Linked DNA regions of Rhinolophus ferrumequinum. The protein of the gene in region 1 interacts with the protein of each later gene in a biochemical or structural test. Links are inferred from orthologs where the notes say so. Each region holds a gene or a part of one and is shown on either strand. Other genes may lie near its edges. The genes, in order: PIAS3 and MITF.

Region 1 (11,718 bases):
CCAGACCTGAGAACCTGAACTCTGGGATCTGGAATCAGCATGGCTGTGACCAGAAGAGGTATGGATGGAAGCCAGCTCTATGGAAAATAAAACAGGAGGCAGTGTGGTACTGGGTTGTCTTCATTTTTTTTCTGTTTAAAGGGGTGTGGGGGGAGAATCACAAATGGCCCCATAAGTCAGCAGCTTTCAACCTTTGATTATGATCCATAGTGAGAAGTACATTGTGTGTCCTGTGTGTACACACTTGAAATAGTATGTACCCTTACTATTTCTGTTCTAGTCTATTCTCTGCTATGATGCTCCACTGAAAAATATTGGTCAAAACACATCCAATAATGGGTCAAGACTTTGAAAAACAGCCCTCTGTGAAAATGGGTATGGACACTCTTCCTTTCTCTTTCTCAAATCTGTCTCTTACCAACTGACACAGTTCTACTCATTTTTTTTTTCTACCTTGGGATTCCCGAGTCCACTATTTTTTTTAAGGAGGAGAGATTGAGAGACCTGGATGTTGAGGTGTACAATCTGAAAGATTCTGTCATGTGTTAAACCGTGTGTTTTGAAGCACGTGGTCTCATGTGCTCAGTGTTCTAGTCTGGAAGGGGATGAACGGACATTCAGAGGTGGCTTCTTCCCTCCAGTTCTGTTCTCAGACTGAAAAAATCTATCTCTCTTGGTTTCTTCCCATGGGTCTCCTCCCCTTTCTGTGCGTCCAACAACTAGACCTTTAGGTGAGAAAGAAGCAGTGAAGTCCTCCAACATCTGGAGTTTTGGTTTGGTGGCCCACACTTTGATCCCTCCCCATTTCTTCTCTTAGCCCGCCCCCTGCTGGGTTAAGCTGGGTCAGCCAGCCGTGGTTTGGCAGTACAGAGACTGAAGTGGGTTGAGAGAAGAGTGGGGAGAGGTTGTCGTGGAAGACAGGGGGCCACACCAGGGCTGCAGAGTCTGGCTCCAGGGTTTGGCCAGAAAAGAGCAGTTGTGTGAATGAGGTCCTAGGAGAAGATGAGAGTCAGCTTTGGGGTGTGTGTGGATGGGTACAGGACTGCTTTAAGGCTGGGAGAATAGAGACACAGGGATTGATGGAGAAAGGGAGAAGGGGTACAACTGCCAGAAGAGCCTCAAAAAGGTCCTAGTCATTTCTATTAAGAGGAATGAACCTCTCTTTTCTTTCCTGCTCTTAGAGTTACCAGAAAATATAAAAGGCCTGACTGTTACATTCCTTCTTACATGGAGTATAGGGTGGGAAGAATGCAGAAACTGCCAAGAGAAGGGTCCAGAGACGGGGGGAGATCATTTGGCTAAGTTCAAGTATGAGTCAGGAAATAGCTTTGGTAATGGCAGCCAGGCCTCGGGCTCCCTCCAGACTCCTGGAAGCTGATCCCAGGATGGCTGAGCTGTGGGAATGGTCAGTGATGTTAAGATTAACGCAGGAGTGGAAGCTTCCCCAGCCTTTGGTCTTCCCAAACAATCTCCATCTATACAACCCCATAAACTGTGACCCCAACAACCCAAGCCCTGAAATTCTCCTTGATTTCATAAATAAGTCTCTCCCAAAGTAACCGTAGTCCTAATGTCCCCCCATCCCTCCTGGGCTGTCCGTTTCATGGGACTTTGGTAGCGGTTTACTACTCCTGTTTCACTTTCCCGTCGCTCCCCAGCCTTCAGATGTAGGGGTTTATGGGTAAAGCTTGGTGGGCCATGATGGGGTTCAGATTCTGTCTTTGAATGTCCTCAATCTGGAACTTGGTCCTGATTTGCAGATTCCCTCCTTTGTCTGGTAACATTAATTTATTACACTGATATTTAAAGAGTCTACTACGTGCCAGGCCCTGGGGATAGAGAGTGGACAGCACCGAGAAGGTTCTTGTCCTCATGGAGCTTGCTTGCACGCAGGATCAGATTCAGGTGCCCTGCAGGGTTCCTAGTTTTCGAGCATCTTGTAGGGATGCCGAACTTAGAACTCAAATGAACTATTAACGGAGATGCCTCCTTTATGAAATCACTAGGAACCAAGCTGAGGTTGACTTTCTTTTATATTTTTACAGCTTTAATGAGGTATAATTGACATACAATAAACTGTATGAACTTACAGTGTACAGTTTAAGTTCTGACATGTGTATATACCCATGAAACCATCTCACCATAAAGATCATGAACATCCATCATTCCCAAAGAGTTCCGTCGTCTCTCTCTCTTTTTAAATCCTCTCTATCCTCCTTCCCTCGAAATCACTGAAAATTCTAGAAGATACAAAATAGTCCATAGTCACTTTTTTTTTTTTTTTTGAAGTTAGAAAGTTTGTTGAAGAAGAAAAGCGCCGACAGAGAAGCCACCAGGGGCAGAGTCTAGATAGAGCAGACAACTGCTCATAATAACTTTTGATCTACAGGAATGAATAGGAAAAACAATGAGCTCAGGGCCTGATGAAGACTCAAGTGTTGGAGACAATGGTTGGGATTAGGGACCAAATACTTGAGATTCAGATTAGCTTGAGGTCCCACCATTGCTCGCAGCAAAGCAGCAAGGAAAGAACCTGAGTGTCAGGTGAAAGAGGACATCTTCCCTAAGGACAAAAATCCACTAAGTAGTTGGGCATAGTGCAGTTTAGAAGGTACATGGGATATTGGTAGGCTGGCACCTTCAGGCCTAAGGCTTGGGTGGGGTCTCATGGGGGAGGATTACACTGAAGGTTTAAACTAGATGAGAGAATTATTATTATTTACTAAAGCACTCTTTTTGTATGCTGATTATAGTATGCTGATTAAGTGTCTTGTCACTGCTGCTAGACTGAGAACTCCTGCAAGGCTTTTATATCCCAAGCACCTAACAATGTCTGAACAGCATTCAACTATTTATTGAACAAACACATTAGCATTTAGGTCCCAGCTAACAACTATAAAATGCTATGTTTGTTGTGAGTAACTCGTTTGGGTAAACTGCCCTGAAGTTGGTGCTTTCAGGAGACGTGCATGTAAGGGATTAGCTTGGCAGAGGATGGGGCCTCTGGAAGGTCCAAGGCTTTGGAAGAAGGGAAGTAGTTGAGAAAGGGGCAGAAAAATGCCATATTTGGGCAAGAAAACCTCCCCTCTGTTCACCTTCAGCTACACCAAAGGTGTGGGGTCTCTGGTGTCTGCCCGTGTATTTGGGGTAGGGCGTGGGAGACCACAGGTAGAGTTAGGGTTCAGGTACACTTTGGATTCTAGCAGCCCAGAACCTCTTTATGCGGTCAGATCCCTGGTCCAGGCCGTCTCATTTCCAGCATGCCTCCACCTCAAGCCCGCACACCAGAGCAAGGGGTCAGAGCGGTGGTGAAAAAGCTGAGCTCCGAGAACGTCCACTCTCCCCGCCGGCTGACTCCGAGGAGTTAAAGTCTCCGGAGCCTGACTCCGAGTCCCTCCCTCTCCCGCCTCAGACTCCGCCCCCTCCCCGCCAGCCGGCAGTCCAGGCCGGCTTACCCGGGAGGGGGCGGCCCCAGCCGGAGCGCTGGGCCGGGCGGAGCTCCCGCTCGGGCGGAGCTGCGGCTGCAGCGTCCAGCTGCCTGACCGACCTCCAGCCGTGCAGCCTGCGGGAGCCGCGCCGGGCCCCCTCCCCCACCTCCCCAGCCCACCCTCTGAGCGCCCTCCCCGCTCCCCGCTACCGAGCTGGTAAGTCACGCTCTCGCACCAAACTTTTCTGCTGCCAAGTCTGAGTCCTGCGGCCGGACCTCCAGCCACATTGTAGTTGGTGGTGGTGGTTGGCGGGCGGTGTGTGTGGGGGAGGTTTGAAGGATTGAGAATAGCCGTCGTGAAATGAGCTATTCACGACTCCATTGCTTCCCTCAAATGGGTCGGATCTCACCCATTTCCCGAGTTGGCAGAACTCATGATTTTAGCGGCTTAAACTTGTAAAGAGGAAGAGGAGGGTATTTTGGAACTTCGCTCCCCCATCCCCCATTTCTGTAAGTTTTAGCAGTTCTCGATACTTTCCCTCGGTATTTCAAGACGCTGGTTTCCTAAAAGCTCATTCCCTCCTAACTCCGGCGTGGCAAAACCTCCTCCCCCAGGCACCTCTGTCCCGCCTCCTCTCCTTTACCCCCCGGAACCCCGCGATCGGGCTGTACACTCCCTCGGTGTCCACCCGTTTCGCATCCCGGCCAAAGACGTGCCGGGGCTGGGTCCGGAGTGGTGGGAGGGGCTGAGGCTGGGGCTTGTCCGGAGCCAGGCGGGCGGGGCCGGGAAGGGGAGGTGTAGGGGCCGGACGGGGCGGAGCAGGCGGCATTTGCGGCCGGCGCCGGGGTGGAGAGTTGTGCGCCGGTCCCTGGGCCTGAGCTCGGGCTCGGGCTCGGGCGCCTGCGATGTCTCAAGATGGCGGAGCTGGGCGAATTAAAGGTACCGGCCCCCTCCCCCATCCCCATCTGGACTGAGCCCGGCGGTCCGCCGAGTCGGGGGAGCGACCGAGACTGGGTGCTGACGGCTCGGGTGGGGGCTGGAGACGTGGCGGGAACTGGCTGCTGGGGATGGGAGAGAAGTGGCTGTGGCGAGGAAGGGGCTGCGGCGGAGCTCCGGGGGCGGGGCCGAGGGGCAGATGGAGGGGTGGGGCCGAGGGGAATTGCAGCTGTTGGGGGCCGATGCGCAGGGGGCGGGGACGCGGGGTAGGAGTGGGATTTGGTGGTGGGGGCAGATGTAGGGGTAGGGTCAGGGGGAGAAGCTGCTGTAGAGGCACAGGGGGCAGGTTGATCAAAGCCAAGAGATGCGACAGTAGGGGCAGATGTAGGGGTGGGACTGGGGGTCAGGCGTACTCGAGGCTCCTCTGGGAAATGCAGCTGAGAGGTAGAGGCTTTGGGGCTGCTTTTGGGATCCCAGCCTTGGGAAGTACCAGTGGGCGGCTGATCTAGGGGGCGGGGCTGTGCAGGCGCTAGATGGAGGGGTGGGGCAGAAGCATCCTGGAGCCCGGGAGGCAGGTCCTGGAGCCTCACTGAGTTTGGTACCTTTGGGCAGAGACAGAGGAGGCTGAAACTATGGGATAGAAAGGGGGGAGTTCTTGTCAAAGCTAATGGGGACATAAGCACAGGACAGAGGAAATAAGGATGGGCAAAAAGGTATAGGAGCAAGTTTTTTTCATCACACTCCTCAAGATTCACAGAAGGGAGTCCTTTAAGGAGAGAGCTTCTTGGGTTCTCCCACTGCCATGCAGTCTTGAGAGTAACCATGTCCGAGGCCATCTCACAGAACCTTAAAAACCCTTTGGGTTCATCCCCTTGCCTCCCGGCTTTGTTCTGCCCTTTGAAATGGAGCCATAGCCCTGGGCAGGCCTGAGGTCTAGTCACTGGGCCCAGCTGCCTTTGGGAGAGCTTGTGATTCCTCTCCGGGGCCACCTGCCTTCTCCTCAGTCTCCCAGGGCCTCTATTTAGAGTCATGCCCTCTCCTCTTCCTCTATGGAGGTGGGGAGGTGGGGGCAATCACTCATTTTTCTCTATGAAGGAGACTAGCAGGATATTTGCTCCTGACAGATGGAGTAAACAGGCAGGATACCTGGACTTGGGGATTCACCGTTAGCCACGTCGCCCCAAGGTTTGGTCTTGTTTCCCTCCCAGAAAAATAGGACTGAGGGAGGGGTGGTTAAGTAAATACACTGAGAAAGGATTTGGGGGAGTTGTGAGCATTGAACCCTGACCTGAAAACCCTGGCTTGGGGAATATAGCTGAGGTGGACTGAAGTGTCTGGAGAGGTGGGCGGGGGACACAGTCCTCCAGCCACCTGGCCCCCTTCTTCTCCGTGGGGCGTCTGGCCTAAAACCTCTTCTCCCCCTCCTTCTCCCCGTGTCCTATCCTCTTCCCAAGAGGCTGGGATGGATCTGAAGGTCTGAGAAAGAGCAGGAGAGGAGATAAGCAGCTTAAAGGAGCGTCCAGGTTTGAGGCGGGGATGGAGGTTAGGAGCCTGTAGTGGACTCAGGTGTGCCTGAGGATGGCTTGCTGTCTCTCGTGCCCCCACCAGGTCAGCTTCCAGGCAAAGGGAGATAGGGTTGCTCAAGCTCTGGGGGGGGCGGTGGGGGTGGGGGCGGTGGTGAGGTTGACTGAGGGTTGCTACAATGGGACTGAGATGTCCCTTTGGCCAGGTTGGGTGTCTGACAGTAATTCACTGGCAGCAAAGCATCTTTATGATCAGTGCTGGAGGGAAAGAGGCATTGACCTCCCTGGTAGCTCTGCCCCAGGCTCCTCGGCAGGACAGGCCCATGGAAGATAGGATTCTCAAGCTTCTCTGTTGCCCACAGCACATGGTGATGAGTTTCCGGGTGTCTGAGCTCCAGGTGCTCCTCGGCTTTGCTGGCCGGAACAAGAGTGGACGGAAGCACGAGCTCCTGGCTAAGGCCCTACACCTCCTCAAGTCCAGCTGCGCCCCCAGCGTCCAAATGAAGATCAAAGAGCTTTACCGCCGCCGCTTCCCCCGGAAGACCCTGGGGCCCTCAGATCTCTCCCTGCTCTCTCTGCCCCCTGGCACCCCTCCTGTAGGCTCCCCTGGTCCTCTAGCTCCCATCCCCCCAGCCCTCTTGGCCCCTGGCACGCTGCTGGGCCCCAAGCGTGAAGTGGACGTGCACCCCCCTCTGCCCCAGCCTGTGCACCCTGATGTCACCATGAAGCCATTGCCCTTCTATGAAGTCTATGGGGAGCTCATCCGGCCCACCACCCTCGGTATGGCTCTTTGTGGTCCCTCAGCCTTCCCGACTCCATGTCTCCAAGCCTCTCGTAGGCTTTATTCTTGTGGGATCAGCAGCCTGGGATGGGGCGACTTCTGCGGCTGCCTGTGCACAGGCTTGGGAGTAACTGCCCTTTGTGTCCTCAGCATCCAACTCTAGCCAGCGGTTTGAGGAAGCGCACTTTACCTTTGCCCTCACTCCCCAGCAAGTGCAGCAGATTCTCACATCCAGGTGAATCATCCTTCAGTCCTTCTGCCTCATCCTCGGGCGGTTATCCCTGGCCCCTGCTCTCTCTTCTCTCTGCCCTGCTCTCCTCCCTGTCCGTCCTTCTGCACTCGCTTTGCTGCTCGTTCTCTTGTATGTCTCATCTCTTCACTATCCTCTGCATATCTAAGTTCTGTGTCTCTGTTCACCTCTGCCCTCCAAGGGCTGCATACTGACACCTCTCCCTCTCTATTACAGAGAGGTTCTGCCAGGAGCCAAATGCGATTATACCATACAGGTGCAGCTCAGGTGAGTGGACCCTCCCTCCCTCCCTCCCTTCCTCCCTGCCAGGCTCCCGTTGGGGGTGGGAATGAAATAAGGGCATGACAGGTACTCCTAGGAGATGTCCCCACTCTGCTGTGTCCACTGGCCCTGGGTCTCTTTTGGGTGCTGCGGCCTACGGATACCTACCACTGATTTTCTGAGGTTCCCTTCCTCTCTGCCAGATTCTGCTCAAGAAACTGCCTCTTGCCCTTTCATCTTCTCTCATCTCTTCCCAGGTTCTGTCTCTGTGAGACCAGCTGCCCCCAGGAGGATTATTTTCCCCCCAACCTCTTTGTCAAGGTCAATGGGAAACTGTGCCCCCTGCCGGTAAATGCTCTTTTCCTTCTTCTGGCAGTAACCCCTTCCCTGTTTCAGTTCCTAAATATTAACTACAAACTTGTTGTGAAAGAGACATGCCTAGTACAGTGCCTGGCACATAGTAGGTGCTCAGTTTACTGACCGAATCACTATGATCTAGAAAGTATTAAGATAGCGCTGAACAAGGGTTTTGTCAGAACTCAGAGGAGGGGTGTTAGTTCCACCCAAAGGTTCTTCAGAAGCGATGACACCCAGAGCTGAGAGTCGGACGAAATGGGGCGGCCCTATTTTTCCTCCTCCGGAACTCAGTGAGTGGGTTCCTGTTTCCTTGGTCAATGAAGAAACTCCTTTTCCCCCAGGAATGAACCCCACCCACAACCCTTCGATAGTGCCCCACTTTTGTGAGTCACAAAATTGACTGAGCTAGTCTTCCCTCCGGGAAGTGAGGAACCCGAGACAAGATGTCTTGACCAGGCCCTCCCTTCCCCAGGGTTACCTTCCCCCGACCAAGAACGGGGCTGAGCCCAAGCGGCCCAGCCGCCCCGTCAACATCACCCCCCTGGCTCGACTCTCGGCCACTGTTCCCAACACCATCGTGGTCAACTGGTCATCAGAGTTTGGACGGGTGAGCATGGCTGAGGCAGAGAGGCTGAGAAGCCTGCAGGGAGTGATGGGAATCCCCCAGTGTCCTGGGTTCGGGAAGCATCTTCCTCTTTATGGGGCTCTTTGCCTTAACCCGCTGTCTCTGGTCCTCATGGGACAAAGGGTAGGGGGGTGGTAGAAGCTAATTGTCTCCCCCACAGAGCAGAAGCTAATTCTCTCCCCCACCTCCAAGTAGAATTACTCCTTGTCTGTGTACCTGGTGAGGCAGTTGACTGCAGGGACCCTTCTACAAAAACTCAGGGCAAAGGGCATCCGGAACCCAGACCACTCCCGGGCACTGAGTGAGTAGCGTCCCGCTCCCTTCCCCTCTCTCATCTGGATCCAAGTCTCCCTGGCCCTCCATCCTTGACAATCAAACCCATACCCCTCTTAGGACAATGTATCTCACCTCTCACCTTAAGCCCACGCCTCCCCTTATCTCCCTTACCAATTTCGTGGTTGTGAAGTCAGACCACTCCCACGTGCTGAGTGACACTCTTGTATTCCCAGTTATCCATCTGCTTTGCACCTCCCACACCCTAACTCTGGCCCCCCTGGAATATGGCTTCTCCAGACTGGGAAGAATCTTAAGGATCGTCCAATCTAACTGTCTCGTGGTGCTTCAATTCCCCCTAGGTCATGTCTGCCAAAGTGTCACCCAGCTGTATTTAAGCATCTTCAGGGATGATGAAATCTCTGTCCTCCACCCAGCCTTCATAAGTCCATGTGACATCCCACTGGCCTCCAAAGCCTCTCCCCAGCTGTCTGTCAGCCAGAGCCATCTGCTTCTGGCCTTGCCTCCTTCCTGGCTCCCTCACTAGCCTTGCTGACCCCATGGCTCTGGCCTCACTCTTGTTTCAGTCAAGGAGAAACTGACCGCTGACCCAGACAGTGAGGTGGCCACTACAAGTCTCCGGGTGTCACTCATGTGTCCGGTGGGTACAAGAGAGAAGAGAAGCGGGAGGAGGGTTGGGTTAAGCCTCCGGACTCAGAGGATGGTTCCTGGGCTCTTAGAGGAGGTGTGGGGACTCTGACCAGAGAACTTTTTCTCCTCAGCTGGGGAAGATGCGCCTGACGGTCCCTTGTCGTGCCCTCACCTGTGCCCACCTGCAGAGCTTCGATGCTGCCCTTTATCTACAGATGAATGAGAAGAAGCCAACGTGGACATGTCCTGTGTGCGACAAGAAGGCTCCTTACGAATCTCTTATCATTGATGGGTAGGGCCATTCTGCATTCCGGGTTCTCACCGAGGGCGGCCACGGGCCCCTCCCCCACATCTATGCCTGTTACTGGGGATTTCCAGCCGTGAGGACTTACTGTACGCTAAACGTGGTGCTGAGCACTTTGCAGGCCTTCTCTCCCTGAATCCTCCTAATAACCCCATGACGGGTACTGGCGTGACAGGTGAAGAAACAGCCCTAGAGAGATTGAGTCTTTTGCTCAGTTCTGTTGTTAAGTGGCACAGCCAGTGGACCACACTGTTACAATGTTCGCCTGCCGAGCTCTCCCTGAGCGTAGCAGGCAAGTGCTTCTGAAGCGTGTGCTGATCGAGCTAGTTCCGACCCCCTTCCCGAGCCCACACTATGGTTCTTGTGCCCAGTGCCCTTTTTCAGATGGTTTATGGAGTTCGGCATCCTTCTTCCCTTTGTCTTGAAACTAGTACTACACAAAATAGGTGCTGAAAATGTGTTTGTTTTAAAGCTTAGCATTTAAAGTTTGCAAAGCTCTTTTACATGCTTTGTTTGATTCGAATAACAACTCAAAGAGGTCAGTAGGGTAGGTAATACCCACGTTTTATAGATGAGCAAGCTGAGGTTCAGGAAAGGGAGTCCCAGAATTCCCTGGGGACTGTCCCAGCCATCTCCCAGCCCATGAATTCCCTTTTCTCCCCCCAACCCCCCAGTTTATTCATGGAGATTCTTAATTCCTGTTCGGATTGTGATGAGATCCAGTTCATGGAAGATGGCTCCTGGTGCCCAATGAAACCCAAGAAGGAGGCATCTGAGGTTTGCCCCCCGCCAGGGTATGGGCTGGATGGTGAGTGACCCCCTGTCCCCCAGCACAGCTAAGTCTGGGGTGGCCTCTTCTCTGAGACACAGTCTTCTTACCACCCACAGGCCTCCAGTACAGCCCAGTCCAAGAGGGCAATCCGTCAGAGAATAAGAAGAAGGTTGAAGTTATCGACTTGACAATAGAAAGCTCGTCAGACGAGGAGGACCTGCCCCCGACCAAGAAGCACTGCCCTGTCACTTCAGCTGCCATCCCGGCCCTACCTGGAAGCAAAGGGTATGAGGAAGCAGGCTGAGTCTATAGCAGAAGGGACCAAGGAAGAAGTGCGAAGCTTTCTGGCCAGTGTGCCAACCCTGGGGTGGAGAGGGCATGTGGGAGGCTGAGCTGGGTCAGGGCATCTGCGGGTCACTGGCTACCCCAGCTCCTCCTCTCTCCTCAGAGTACTGACATCTGGTCACCAGCCATCTTCGGTGCTACGGAGCCCTGCTATGGGCACGCTGGGCGGGGACTTCCTGTCCAGTCTGCCCCTACACGAGTACCCACCTGCCTTCCCACTGGGGGCCGACATCCAAGGTAGGACACTGATCACAGGGCGGGGCCCCACACTGCCGCATCCTCCCCAGAACCAGATCGGAACCCCTGCTCCTCTTCAAGCCTTCTGGCTGTCTTTGCAAAGGGCCACAATCCATGAACTTCTTTGGTGTTTCTTTGGCGGTGAAGGGGTCAGACAGGAGGTTGATTTTCATTTTTTTTTCCTACCAGGTTTAGATTTATTTTCTTTCCTTCAGACTGAGAGTCAGGTAAGTGGCCCTGATCTTCCCATGGAGATGTCAGATCTCTGAGGCTTCCTTTCTGGGCCCTGATGGGCACCCTCCCTCTCCTTTTCCCTGGAGTCCTAACCCTGCTGCTCTGTGAGGGAGGGGGGAGGGTGCAGGCTGTTTATTTCCTTCCGAGGCCCCACTGGTACCTCCTCAGCTTCTCACGCGTTCCTGGGTCCCCGGTTACTGTTCTGTGTAGAGATTTTGGTATCATCCTGCCGCTGCCTGCTCACCCCCACGCCATGCGCACTTGAGTACCAGGCCTGCCCCAACCGGACATTCCTCACATTTCAGACGCCCACGAGGCCAAGAACCTAGCAGGGTGGAGGGGCTGTCTCCAGGCAGGGAGTCGGGGGGCGGTGTAGGGGAGTAGGGAAAGGGTCAGCGAGAGGCTGTCCTGCTTCTCAGAGAACACCTTGGGATCCAGAGGGCTTGTTTACCCCAGGTGCTATTCCTGAGGTGAGAGATGGGAAGGCGTGTTGTCAGGATACAGCCCTAACCTGTGCCCTTCATTCCTCCCAGCACTATGGTCCCTCCGTCATCACCTCGCTAGATGAACAGGATGCCCTTGGCCATTTCTTCCAGTACCGAGGGACCCCTTCCCACTTCCTGGGCCCACTGGCCCCCACACTGGGGAGCTCGCACCGCAGCACCACTCCAGCACCCCCTCCTGGCCGTGTCAGTAGTATTGTGGCTCCTGGGGGGGCCTTGAGGGAGGGGCACGGAGGAC
Region 2 (12,003 bases), on another chromosome or scaffold:
TATGTGTACATATATATACACATATATATACATATATATATATATATAAAATGTACAATGACATATACTGAGGTATGAATATCTCTGTAGTGGTATTATGGGCCTTTTTCTTTTACTTATCTGCAGTTTCTAATGTTCAAATAATAAATATTATTACTTTTCCAATAAGAAGATAAATCTATTTTAAATATTTTGTATAAAAGCCAGCAACCTCACTTTGGTGGCTGTTAGAGGAAGGCAGAGAGGAGAAATGCCCACTTTGGAGTGTATATTCCTTCTCTTTTCTTTATTATCTCCTGGAATGTCTTGTGTTCTCCTTCTTATTCCAATTCCTGTGGCCTCAGACATCCTGGAACAAGAATGTAAAGCATGACTTCACTGACGGCTCTGCATTGGGATTGGAGTCCGAGTCCACACCAAGGTCAGACCGCTCTTCCTCCAAGGTCAGACCACTCTTCCTCCATTGCCTTGGTGACTGTGAGCTGACAATCACCTGCTGCCATTGGCCTGGGGGTTCCTGAGCTACAAAGGCACTACTTTGCTTTGAGTGTTTCCTTGACCAAACTTTAGTCGGTCTACTCTGAATTCTCTTCCCAATTAGGCCTTGACTTTTGGACTTCCGTTTGCATGGACCAATTCTGAACAGAAATCCCATCAAGTCGTGTTAGCCAACACCTCTCACTCTCAATAGCTGATCACCTTCCTCATCACCCGGCAGCCTCACATCCCCCGCTGATTCCCCTCCTTTGCCTCCAGTGAGAATCCTGTTCATTCAGTTTAGAAAAGAATTCTACGACACTTTCAGTAATTTTCTACCCTCTGACCACCTTCCAGCCCTGCCCCCATTCTGCTTCTGCCTATAAATCCTCCTCCGCTCCTTGTATTTGGGGTTAAGCCAATCTCCTCCACTTCAAAGCCCCCTCACAGCCGTTCCTGACTTACTGCAATAGTCTTCCTGAATAAAGTTGGCCTAACTGTTCTTTAACAAGTGTCAGAATAATTTTTTTCTTTAACAGCTTTTAACCAGGTGAAACCATCTCCCAAACCACTGTTCAGTTCTTAGCCCTGGTGACTCTTCAATTGCCCCATTGCAATCAGCTCTTTCTGAAACCTGTCAGACCTTCATTCCCAAAGTCATGGAAATCACACTCCAGATGTCATCCAGCCTTTCCTAATCCATTCATGTTCAGATCCATGCCTCACAAATTTTGCATTGGATTATTTATTAATCATCCTCTTTTTAGCTTTCTTCTAGCCTCGTTTTGGTACCCTTCTTTTGTTGTGCTTTCTTTCTGCCTGGCTTGATCACCCCTTAAAGTAGTGGTTCTAAAATTTCCACATGCCTAAGAACTCACTGGGGAGCTTGCTTAGAAAGCAGATTGTCAGTTGTCACCCCTTTGAGATTCTGATTTAGCAGTTCTTGTTCAGGGCTTGGAAATCGGCACTTTAATTGGCACCCCAAATAATTATGATACACGTGGTTAATGGACGATACTTTGAGAAGGGCGCTCCACTTTCGTCTCCTGGTCCACACAGCATAGCACTACGCCCTCTCCCCTCACCTCCCTTCATTGGCTCTAGACAGCTGCATGGTACAGCATTTGTAAGAACGATATATTTGGAAGACCAGGACGCACAGACTCCTGGAGGAAACATGGATAATCCAGAGTGGTCCGTGGCACCCCTGAAGTTGCAAATAACACTTTGAGTATGCTCTTTTTTCTAGTAAGAAAGTCCACAACTTTCATCAGATTCTCAAGGAAATCCACTAACCAAAAAGTTAAAAAATCTACAAAGCCATAAGCAGATGTATGCCTTGAAAATTAACTACTTTCCCACTTGACATATGCCATGCCTGAACTTTGTGTGGCTTAGATTGGTTTCTTGGGGCGGGCCATGTCTGGGCACCACCTTGGCACATGCAGGAAACGTGCGTTGGGAGGACTGTGCAGAAAGCTGGCCTGCTGACAACCTCCTTCCCTTAACAGTTTTCTGTTATTGACATTGTTCTCCCTCTGGGCTTGTCTCATCTTTTTAAAGTAACAAAATAGTTTCATTACCATTCAATCCTGTGCTTATTAAAATACACTTCAAATAAGAGAAACAGAAGTTGAATTAGATTATGTTTGAAAAGGAGGTGGGGTGGGGAAGCTTTATGCGTTTTTGTACACATAACTGAATTTACTGCTGTCAGGGAGACTGCAAAATAGGTTCATTTTATATTTGAAAAATATTAAGTCTCTAAAGTAGGGATGGTTGGGTAGCTAGAATTTGGACACAAAACCTAGATCTGCCAATCAAGTCCAGCCTTGAACTCGGACTGAATGATAAATAGGTGAAGTAATTGGAAGTAATTGGAATAAATAGGTGAAGTAATTGGAACTCTGTCTGATCCATTCTGGTGGCAGGTGGTTGTGGCTACATCCAGTTCCCAGCATTTCGACAACATCCCATGTCCTGTCAGGTTAAGGGGGTAATTTGTGATGTTTAGTGACACAGTGGTGGCCCTGGTGGGGGCCTTCACTAGCCCAGGTCCATGGCATAGATTTTGGAGTGGTTCCTAGTTGCACAGTGTCTGTGCCAGATTCTGCTGCTGTTCCTGAGGCTTTGTGAGCTACTCAATACACTTTCAATGAATTCCTTTCTGCTTAAATCAACTATGGTCAGTTTCTGTTGCCTCTTTCCTCAAACACACCACATGCAATCCTGCGTCCATAACTTCTCATGTCCATTTTCTCTTTTTGAATCACATGCCTTTTTATCTAATTTTATCATAAAGTATACCCCATTTTAAAAAACATTATGACAGTTTATTTTCTCACTTTTTTAAGTTTAATTATTTTATCATGGAAATTTTCAAATATACACAAAAATAGAGAGAGAAGTAAACTTCCATGACACATTACCCAGTTTCAACATTTTACTCTAACAACAGATAAGAGCTTTAAAAAAACAAGATGAGCAGAATATCAGTATCATACTTAATAAAATAAACAATAATTCTTTAATATCATCCAATTCCAGTTCATGTTCACACACTCCCAGTTTTCTCCAAAATGAATTTTGACAATTGGTTTGTTCAAATTAAGCTCTAGACAAAGTCTACATAATGTATTTGAGTGATATCCCTTTTTCCCAGTTCATTTTCTTAATAGTGATATAATTTACATGTCTAATATGTCTCTTAAATCTTTAAAAATCTATAACAGTTCCTCTTTCCCCTTTATTTCATGCTACTTATTTTTTGAAGAATTTCTCAATGTCTTGTAGAATTTCTCAATTTCTGGGTTTGTCTGATTGCATCCTTGTGGTATTATTAACATGTTCTTCTCTCATTTTTTCCCTGTAAATTGGTGGTTAGATCTAGCAGCTTGATTAGATTCAATTTTTATGTTTTATACCCTAGATTTTTTCCTTGTTTTTTTTTTTTTCTTTTTTAGATCTAGGTTAGTCACATCTCCTCTGAGAATTCTTCACTTCATCTCCATCCCTGCCCTCAGGTGTTGCTGCTTTCTCAGATACTTGTTGCACCTACCTGTCTATCACTCTATTCATTCATTAAATCATTTTCATTCCTATTTCTGAAAGGGCTGGGACTACGCCCTGAGTACAGGGCCCATACATGGCTCATCCCTGCTATTTCCCCATATCTAGCACGTAATGTGGCTGGCACCGACTAGATGTTTCATAAATAGTTGTTGAGCTAAATGGATAAGACAGTACTAATCCTACACAAATGATCTGCTTCTTAGCACTTAATGTGTGGTTTCTCATTGTGGTACAAGCTTTGACTTAACTCCTGCACTGTGAGTCTCTTGAGAGCAGGAAGAAAGTAAAATTCATTCATGTATTTGGGCAACCTAACTCAATGCCATATCCATAACTAGTGCATGTTCTATACATATTAGAATGGAAACCCTTGCTCTCTATTCTTGCTGGATTTCTATGAGCTCAAATAAGAGGTACATATGACAAGCATTTGCAAAAAGTAAAGTATTAGAAAAATATAGGTCAGATTATTAGTGACAGTAATTACAATCTCTAGCCATTACTTTTGTACTTTCAATAGGCACAGTCCTTGTTTCAAATATATGGGGCTGTGAACTTTAAATCACCTTTTTAAAGAAGAGGTAACTACTCCTACTGTTTACTTCATTAACGAAGAGAAATTACAAGGGACAACTCGTTATTATGTGGATTAGTGTTATGGCAGTCCACAGAAAATGTTCCACCTAAAGGAATGAAAAGTCTTTAGGATGATTACTCAATGCTCTTGTGGTTGCAAGTGACAAAAGCATAAACCAAAATATTAATAGTTGCAGCAAAAAGAAAAAAAATTTGGTTTATAAATTTGGGAAATCTAAGGATATCTGCTTCTCTGATTGTTGATCTGATCTCATTCTCTCACTTTTTTTTTTTTATCAGCTTCCTAGGATGCCATAAGTAATTAGCTCTAAGTTTTCTTCCCTCCAGCCCCATGCTTCCCAAATCAGACGGTCTTCTCCAGTTGCCCTAGCAGAAAAGTTCAAAGGAGGACTTCTAGTCATGTTAGGATGCTGTCTGTCTCAAAAGAAATCACTGTGGCTAAGAAAACGGGGCCCACTGATTGGTCAGGATTAGGTCATATACCTACTTCCATTGGGTAGCAGATGGCACTGCAATCAATATCCTGGCCATATGTAATGGAAGAGAAGTTTTTCTGAACCAAGAGTAGAGTGAGACCAGAAGAAAAGGTGTAGGGAGAAAAAATAGCAGGTATCTGTGCGTACTTCAGAGCAACCTCAGCTCAGAGCTCTGCATCTTAGGGATCTCTCTGGAAGGTGCCCTTGGTTGGAGGTAAGTTCAGGGATCTTAGCTTTTTTGACAGTTTTTTCCCTTTAAGTTTGGTCCCTTCGGTCTAGCGGGTCACTGATATAATGAATGACCTACTAGATTGTTTCACTATGGTTCTAAAGAGGTTATAAACTGCGTTTCTAAGATGAAGGCCTTCAAAGGATGAACAGACCAAAATTATAAATAGAATCTTATTTACATTTATATTTTCTGGGGAGAAGGTCCATAGCTTTTCCTTTGATTAAAAAGCTTCTGGTGAACCAAAAGATTAAGAAGACTCCAGTGTTTCTCAACAGGTGCCATTGATTTCTGGACAAGAAAGTTTGTTACTTTACAAAATGTATAGCATCTCTGGTCCACACCCTTTAAATTTCCTGTAATATCCCCAACTCATTATGAAAATCAACCACGTTTTAAGAACCAAAAGCTGAGAATCAAGATGAGAGTAGAAGTCTAGGTCGAAAGTTCTCTTTGTGTTTTACCTTTCTCTTATTTCTGGCAGAGAATAACACTTCTTTAAACTTTTAACATCTAATTTCTAGCTTTCCATCTATCAAGGGATCTGGGATCCCACATTCATGAGCACAAAAAGCCCACTTTCCTCAGGACTGTCCAGATATTTTGCCATATTTTAATGGAATAGTGAAGGACCTAAAGGTAGTATTTTGGGGAGTAAATTTTATTGTGGGATTTTGGCAGTTGTGTACCTCCTGCACATTTCCCCAAATCTCTTTGTGGAGATCCTTAACTCTAAAATCAACCCATCCTACTTAAGATCTTTTCTATGTGAAATTACAATGTTTCATATTGAGGCAAAATGGCCAGCTCCTGGCAGACGCCTACCCAGTAGCCTCCTTAGTTTTCTCCTAGGATGATCACTTCGTTCATGAAGTCTGAAGGACAAACTCACAGATGAAATGTTAGTCTGAAAGGAGTATCTTCAAGATCTAATAAATAAAAGGATGACCACTGAGCAGCAATGTTTATAGATCACAAATCACTTTCTCTTGCATTTGACCATGCAACATCTTCGAAAACAAGCTCGTCAATCACTTCTTTTATAGATGAAGAAATTGAGGCTTCTAAGAATCAAGTGACATGCCCCAAATTGCACAGCACTTTAGAGAAGGACTCAGGATTTCAACTCTGGATCTTAACACTTTCAACGCCACCCTCTAACTCACTACCGCCTCCCTGATGCCTCAAGACACGTTTAAAAGAAGGAGTCCATCCTACTGGAACTAATCAGAGGGTGGACTGACAGCAAAAACAAGCGCTTACAGAGCCCGGCGCTTACAGAGTGCCGGGAAGCTCAGGCTGGGGGCTGACACTTGTACAGTTTTTTGCTCCACAGCTTCACCCCTGAAATGTTAGGACAATCTCGTTTGAACTCCCAGCCAACTGAGAAATTAAAAACAGACGGTGACTACGTTGTTTTGTTACTTGGTGCCTTTTTAAATTAACGGAGCCTTTCAAGAGCTGCTTTAGATTAGAAGTGGCTAATTGGATAAAGGGAAAGAGACATTCAGCTGGATGAATGGTATTGTAAAGCTCAGACTGAATTATAGAAAAGGAACGCCCAAGAACACTTTCCACAATAATATTTCAATTACTAAGTGTTCCTCCACTCTGTTCCAATCAGAGGACACGATGATGTGTCGCAGCAGTGCTGGGAAGCAAGCGGGCTGATAGGAAGTCCTTTTATTTTAAGGCAGGCATAAAGGCTAAAACTTTCTAAAGCCAAAACTATCCACTTTTTTTTTTTTTTAAATAATAAGGACTCGGCGTCTCCTCTCAAACGTCTGAGCTGGGAGGAGGGGTGACGGTAGGAGAGAGAGGCTGAGTCCGTTCTTATTACTATTAAATAGCCAAGTCTGTACCCTTGAGGCAAGTGGGGAGATAGAAGGGAGAGGAGCTGCTGACATTGACAATGAATCCAAACAGGAGTTGCACTAGCGGTGTCCACCACGCTGCCTCTGTCCCCGCCTGGCCTTCTGGGAGTTGTAGTTTTCGCGGGAAGGGCTCCCCCAGCGAGCCGGGAATGCCCCGTCCGGGCCGAACTACAGATCCCAGGCAGCGCCCGGCCGCCGGCCCCTCCCGCCCGGTGCGAGTGTAAACTCCCCGCGCCGGGCGGGCGGCCGCGCGCGGGCCAGCGGGCTGAGCTGGGCACTGTGTGGGGGCGCACGCTCGCAGGACCCAGGCCCCGCCACCTTCTGTCCGCTCGCGGGCTCAGTTCTCCCTTTCGAGCAGTGGAAGGACGGGAAGCGGGAGCCATGCAGTCAGAATCGGGGATCGTGCCGGATTTCGAAGTCGGGGAGGAGTTTCACGAAGAGCCCAAAACCTATTACGAACTCAAAAGTCAACCCCTGAAGAGCAGGTGAGTGGTGACAGCTGGAGGAAGGCGCGGCTGGAGGCTGGGGGTGCCCCGCGCCTCCCGCCCTGGGGCGAGAAGAGCCAATCGCCCGGGCTCTGGGACAAGGACCTCGTGCCCTTGCCCCGGGGCAGAGGGCGAACTGCCCCCCGCAGTTGGGGTCTGCGCCCGTCAGGCCGGTGCACCTCTGGGGGCCTCTGCCCAAGCGCACTTCGGGGGCTCAGCGGGCAGTCCGGGTGGCCGGCTCAGGCGTGGGGACCCTCGGCTGGGGATGCCAGCTGCTGAGACCGGGTGGGGGCTGGGGAGCGACCCGGCGTGGAGGTGGGGGAGGAGGCGCGGGGCCCGGCGGATGGCCGGCTGCGAAGGGGGAAAAGAGTTTCTAGTGAATCCTTCTACTGAAGATCCCAGCGGGCTGATCCGAGAGGGAGAGCTTGGGGTAGAGCGAGGCGCGACGTTGGAGGGAAGCAATTAGCTCGTTTGTTGTCGCCTCTTAGGAATCTGGCCCCTCTGGGAAAACCCGCCCCTGGCCGCCTCCAGGTGAGGTTTCGCTGAGCTCTGCCTCTCACCTTCCTGACGGCGGCCAGGGAGTGGGGCGGGGCCGGGGGCCGTGGGTGGGCGTGTCTCCGCGTCCAGGTTCAACTCAGTGGGCAGTAGAGTCCCATTCAAATCCAAGCGTATGCTGGAGGGGAGAAAGCTTTGGGACTGGAAGGCATTGGCAGTGTCCCTTCCACGGCAGCGATTTAATTAGCAAGGGACGTAAACTTTTTAGGAGAGGAGTGAAGACACCCGCTGGTCTGGCGCCCTGCCACCTCCGCTGCCCACTCCCTGTTCTACCTCCATTACCACTTCTCTGGCGGAATGGGTTGGGTGTCTTCCTTTCTCGGTCCTCGGGCCACTCCGAACATTTCCAGTGTTTACTAAGAGGGAGATGGCCATTTCAAGCTGTGAGAGTAGAGAGGGTTTATTTCCATCCCTCTCGGTTGTGAGATAAGGCTATTTAACTGGAAGGTTCAGAAGTGGTTCTGCACCCACCTCAAACCTCTCTGCCTGCCCCTCACTGTGGGTAGGGCTTGGGTTAATGGGCCCGGCGGACAGAGGGGATGAAGGGCCAGAAATCAGGGTGAGTGGAGAAGGGGAACCAAATCAGGAGGGCGGGGGTGTAATCTTTGCTTCTGGGGTGAGGAGGCTGGTACTTGGCTCTAGTAGAAAGCAGAGCTCTGTCTTTTAGGGCTGTGTCCTTTGGGGCTGTGTCAAAACTCCGAGCCCAAGTTGAGGAAGAAAATCTGAACAGCACACTCACTGACTGACCCGTTGCTGAAGCAGCCTCTGCAGATGCTAAGGGAGATTGGAAGGAAACCTCCTCTGCAGTTAGACGAATAAAACCCGCCTTTAGTTGGTGGTTTCTCTTCATAATGGCTGTTTTGTGTGTGAGCATAGATTGTGTGTGTTGGGGGTTGAGGGTTTTGAGTAATATTGTGCAAAGGGTATTGTTGGTTATGCTCACTGGGGCTTTATCTGCACTCAGCTGAAGGGACCAGTGTTTTACTGAACAACCTCTGCTTTTGCTTCTATAAGCAAATGCTTACATGGCCAGAATGAGGGAGTGTGTGTGTGTGTGTGTGTGTGTGTGTGTGTGGTCCTGAAAGGAATGAATTCACTGGACTGTTGGGGACATTTTTGATGGTAGCTGATACATAACATTAAATGAGTTTTGAAAGTGAGGAAAATACCATCTGGAAGAACCCTCATGAGTGCCATGAAACTCATGTTGAAGGATTTGGGCCTGTTCTTTTTCAGAGTTGGCAAAAAATTACTTGCAAGGGTGAACGTCCTCTGTAGCTAGCTGGCACGTGTAAGGAAAAGTGTGGTACCTGGGAAGAAATGGCTTCACACACGCTGAAGCTAGAAACAGGTGTGGGACAAAACCAGGATGAAGAGGAAGGCTAAATTGAAAAGGTTGGAAAACTGGAGCAGACACATGCTCTTTGAAATAAAGCAGTTAAACAAAATCTGGGAATAAATATGTGGGGTTGACAGAATTTCTCCATAGTGTTTTCCATAGTTGCCTAATGTATTGTCATCGACATGTGTTGTGTGTCTTTAAAAGGGCTACACATTGTTCAGAACCTTCTATGGCTTTTTGTCTTGAGTCTTTGATGGGGCACCTCCCTTCTTATACATCTTTGTTGGAAAAAGTTGAAATTGGAAGTTTAAGACGCTGTAGCTGTTTCGTCTATCGGTTGTATTTTCAGGATTGTCTCTTGGGGTTGGAAATATGTCGAATCTGCCCACTTCTCACCAACTCACTCCTCTGCGACCGCTTTGGTCCAGGCCACCATCACCCTCGCCTGGGTCATTGCAGTTGTCTCTTAACTGGTCTCCTGTCTTCTACCCTTACGCGCTTTAGTGGGTTTTCAACATACAGCCACAAGGTTCCTGTTAAAACCGGTTCTCAACCTGGGGCTGATTTTGCCTCCCAGGGTTCATTTGGCAATGTCTGGAGACATTTTTGGTTGTCACAACAGAAGGGGCTCGCTACTGGCCTCTGAGAAGTAGAGGCCTGAGATACTGTTAAACATCCTACAGTGCGCAGGATGGCCCCTACAAGGAAGAATTATCTGGCCGCAAATTGTCACCACCGAGGTTGAGAAACCTTGTGTTAAAACCTATCGCGTCACGTCATTCTCTACTCAAAAACCTGCAGTGGCTCCTAGTTTCAGTAAAACTTGAAATCCTTGAAATGGCAGAAGGCAACCAAGGTCCCTGTCAGCTCTGAGTGGATCTCTTGCTGCCACCCTCCTGGCTCGCCTGCTGCAGCCCACTGGTCTGCTTGCTGTTCCTGGAACGCTCCAGAGCCTCCCCCCTCAGGCCCTCTTAGGTTGTGTGTGCTGGTCCCGCTGCCTGGACAGTCACAGTGCTCACTCCTCCCTCCCCTCCCCCAGCCTCAAGTTGTCCTTTAAATGTCCTTCCTGCCAAGCCCACCTTGTCCACACTATTTATAATTGCTAATCTCCAAACTCGCATCTGCCTTGCCCTGCTCTTTTTTCCATAGTACTTGTGTTGTGACCATTCTGTAATTTTCTAATATGTTCATTACATGTTTCTCCACACTAGACTGCCGGCTCTGAGGGACCGGGGATTTCTGTCTCTTCATTGTTGACTGTTGGGTCCTAGAATAGCATTTCTCAACCTTGCGCTATTGACATTATGACCTGGGTAATTCTTGGTTGTGGGACTGTCCTGAGCATGGCAGGATGTTCAGCAGCATATCTGGCCTCTGCCTGCTAGAGGTCAGTTGCATCCTTTCCCCAGTTGTGACATCCAAAAATGTCTGCAGACATTGCCAAATGTCCATGGGGGCAGAATCACCCCTGTTTCAGAACCATGGCTCTAGAACAATGCCTGGCACAAAAATGGTTTGTTGTTTGAACATGTGTTGCTTTCTCCCTTAGCACCTCATTCAGGATGATTGTTTGGTTTTTGTTTTTGCCGTCATCATTGCATTCCTCTGAAAGCAGGTAACTAACCGCCAGGGTCTCTCCAAACAGGAATTGACATAGTCTTCATCTGGAGTAAACTGAGATCTGAAGCGTTTTGGGAGGAAGGATGGTTTCATTCCTAACCCTCCTGGGCTGACCTCCTGGCCTTTGAAATGTGAGGTTACTGGACTGAGAAGACCTGAACCCCATTTTGGTCCTGTTGACTGGCAAAGCTGTGTCGCAGGAGGACACATGCTACGAGACAAGGTTCTAATATAGAATTATTTGCAGTTTGGTTCCTCTAGCAAGGTTTTTGAATTCTTTGTGGTGGAAATGGTGGGGTGATAGAGGAAAAGTGCTGAATATCAAGGGTGAACCCAGAATTCACACGTAGGCACAGTCAGGTCTGTGAAACAAATGTGGAACTGTTGAATGAGCTCCCGGCAGTGAAGGAACTCTCTGTAGGTCTTTGTGATCAAAGTAAACATTTAAAAATAAGGTAGCTTCTTTCAGGTTCATGGTCCTTTTGTTTGGTGTACCATTTCTGTGGGCTTTGTAGTTGCTAATTCCTTTTCCTGGACAGACTTAGAATTGGCTTACTTTAATTTCATTTCTTTTCTTCTCAAAATTTTAGTGATGTTTTAGACAACTGTTATTTAACTTACTGCAAATGAGAAATGGAAATTAAAAGGAGTTTTTGGTTTACAATGGCAGGACAGGATATAGCGATAATTCTCCAATGCTGATTCAGAGAGAGGTGTGTGAAGTTTTCCCAGGATTTGGTGAAATGAGAAAGACAAAAAGACTGTTGTGTTACAGTCACATGCACATATTTCGGTATAAGGCCTCTGCAATTTCATGGATTTATTCTCAGGTTTTCCCTCTCATCTTCCTACTAAAAATGCCCTTTCTTTTTAGGAAATGATAATCCATTCTTGGCAAAACAAAACTGTCAACATATTATTGGTTTCTGATAGTTTTCTTGATTTTTCTCGTCTGTCCAAGCTAGGGATCCCCTAGCATGCAGATGAAGAGCACTGTCTGGCATTGCTGTCTGTTCCTAACTAGCTGAGTGACCTTTGCCAGGCTGGGTGGCCTCCAGGCTCAATTTCCTCATCTGGCAAATGGGGGCCTGCCTCGTAGGGGGTCTTCAGAAAATTAACTATGACATTGACTGCGGAAAAGTATTAGCACGGTGCCTGGTACACAGTAAGTGCTCAGTAAATTTTGGCAGATGTTGTTCTTCCTATTTTCTTTATTACTTAGCAGTAAGTCCTGACATTCTGGAAAGTGTTTGCGTTTGTTGACTTTGGCTTTCTT

Evidence for each region.
Region 2: the proteins of PIAS3 (region 1) and MITF form a complex in vitro, tested with the Homo sapiens proteins (2 studies listed by BioGRID). The link is inferred for Rhinolophus ferrumequinum from reciprocal best matches to the Homo sapiens genes PIAS3 and MITF.

Annotation. Positions count from the first base shown.
Region 1 is NC_046305.1:50,103,825-50,115,542, reverse strand, and holds the start of PIAS3 (E3 SUMO-protein ligase PIAS3), read left to right. Parts: upstream 1-5,927; 5' UTR 5,928-5,942; coding exon 5,943-5,972; intron 5,973-6,249; coding exon 6,250-6,667; intron 6,668-6,818; coding exon 6,819-6,903; intron 6,904-7,134; coding exon 7,135-7,185; intron 7,186-7,436; coding exon 7,437-7,527; intron 7,528-8,008; coding exon 8,009-8,143; intron 8,144-8,356; coding exon 8,357-8,462; intron 8,463-9,021; coding exon 9,022-9,095; intron 9,096-9,216; coding exon 9,217-9,377; intron 9,378-10,063; coding exon 10,064-10,197; intron 10,198-10,277; coding exon 10,278-10,446; intron 10,447-10,609; coding exon 10,610-10,743; intron 10,744-10,932; coding exon 10,933-10,970; intron 10,971-11,510; coding exon 11,511-11,718. UniProt on the Homo sapiens protein: Functions as an E3-type small ubiquitin-like modifier (SUMO) ligase, stabilizing the interaction between UBE2I and the substrate, and as a SUMO-tethering factor.
Region 2 is NC_046300.1:63,429,258-63,441,260, forward strand, and holds the start of MITF (microphthalmia-associated transcription factor), read left to right. Parts: upstream 1-6,934; 5' UTR 6,935-7,106; coding exon 7,107-7,210; intron 7,211-12,003. UniProt on the Homo sapiens protein: Transcription factor that acts as a master regulator of melanocyte survival and differentiation as well as melanosome biogenesis.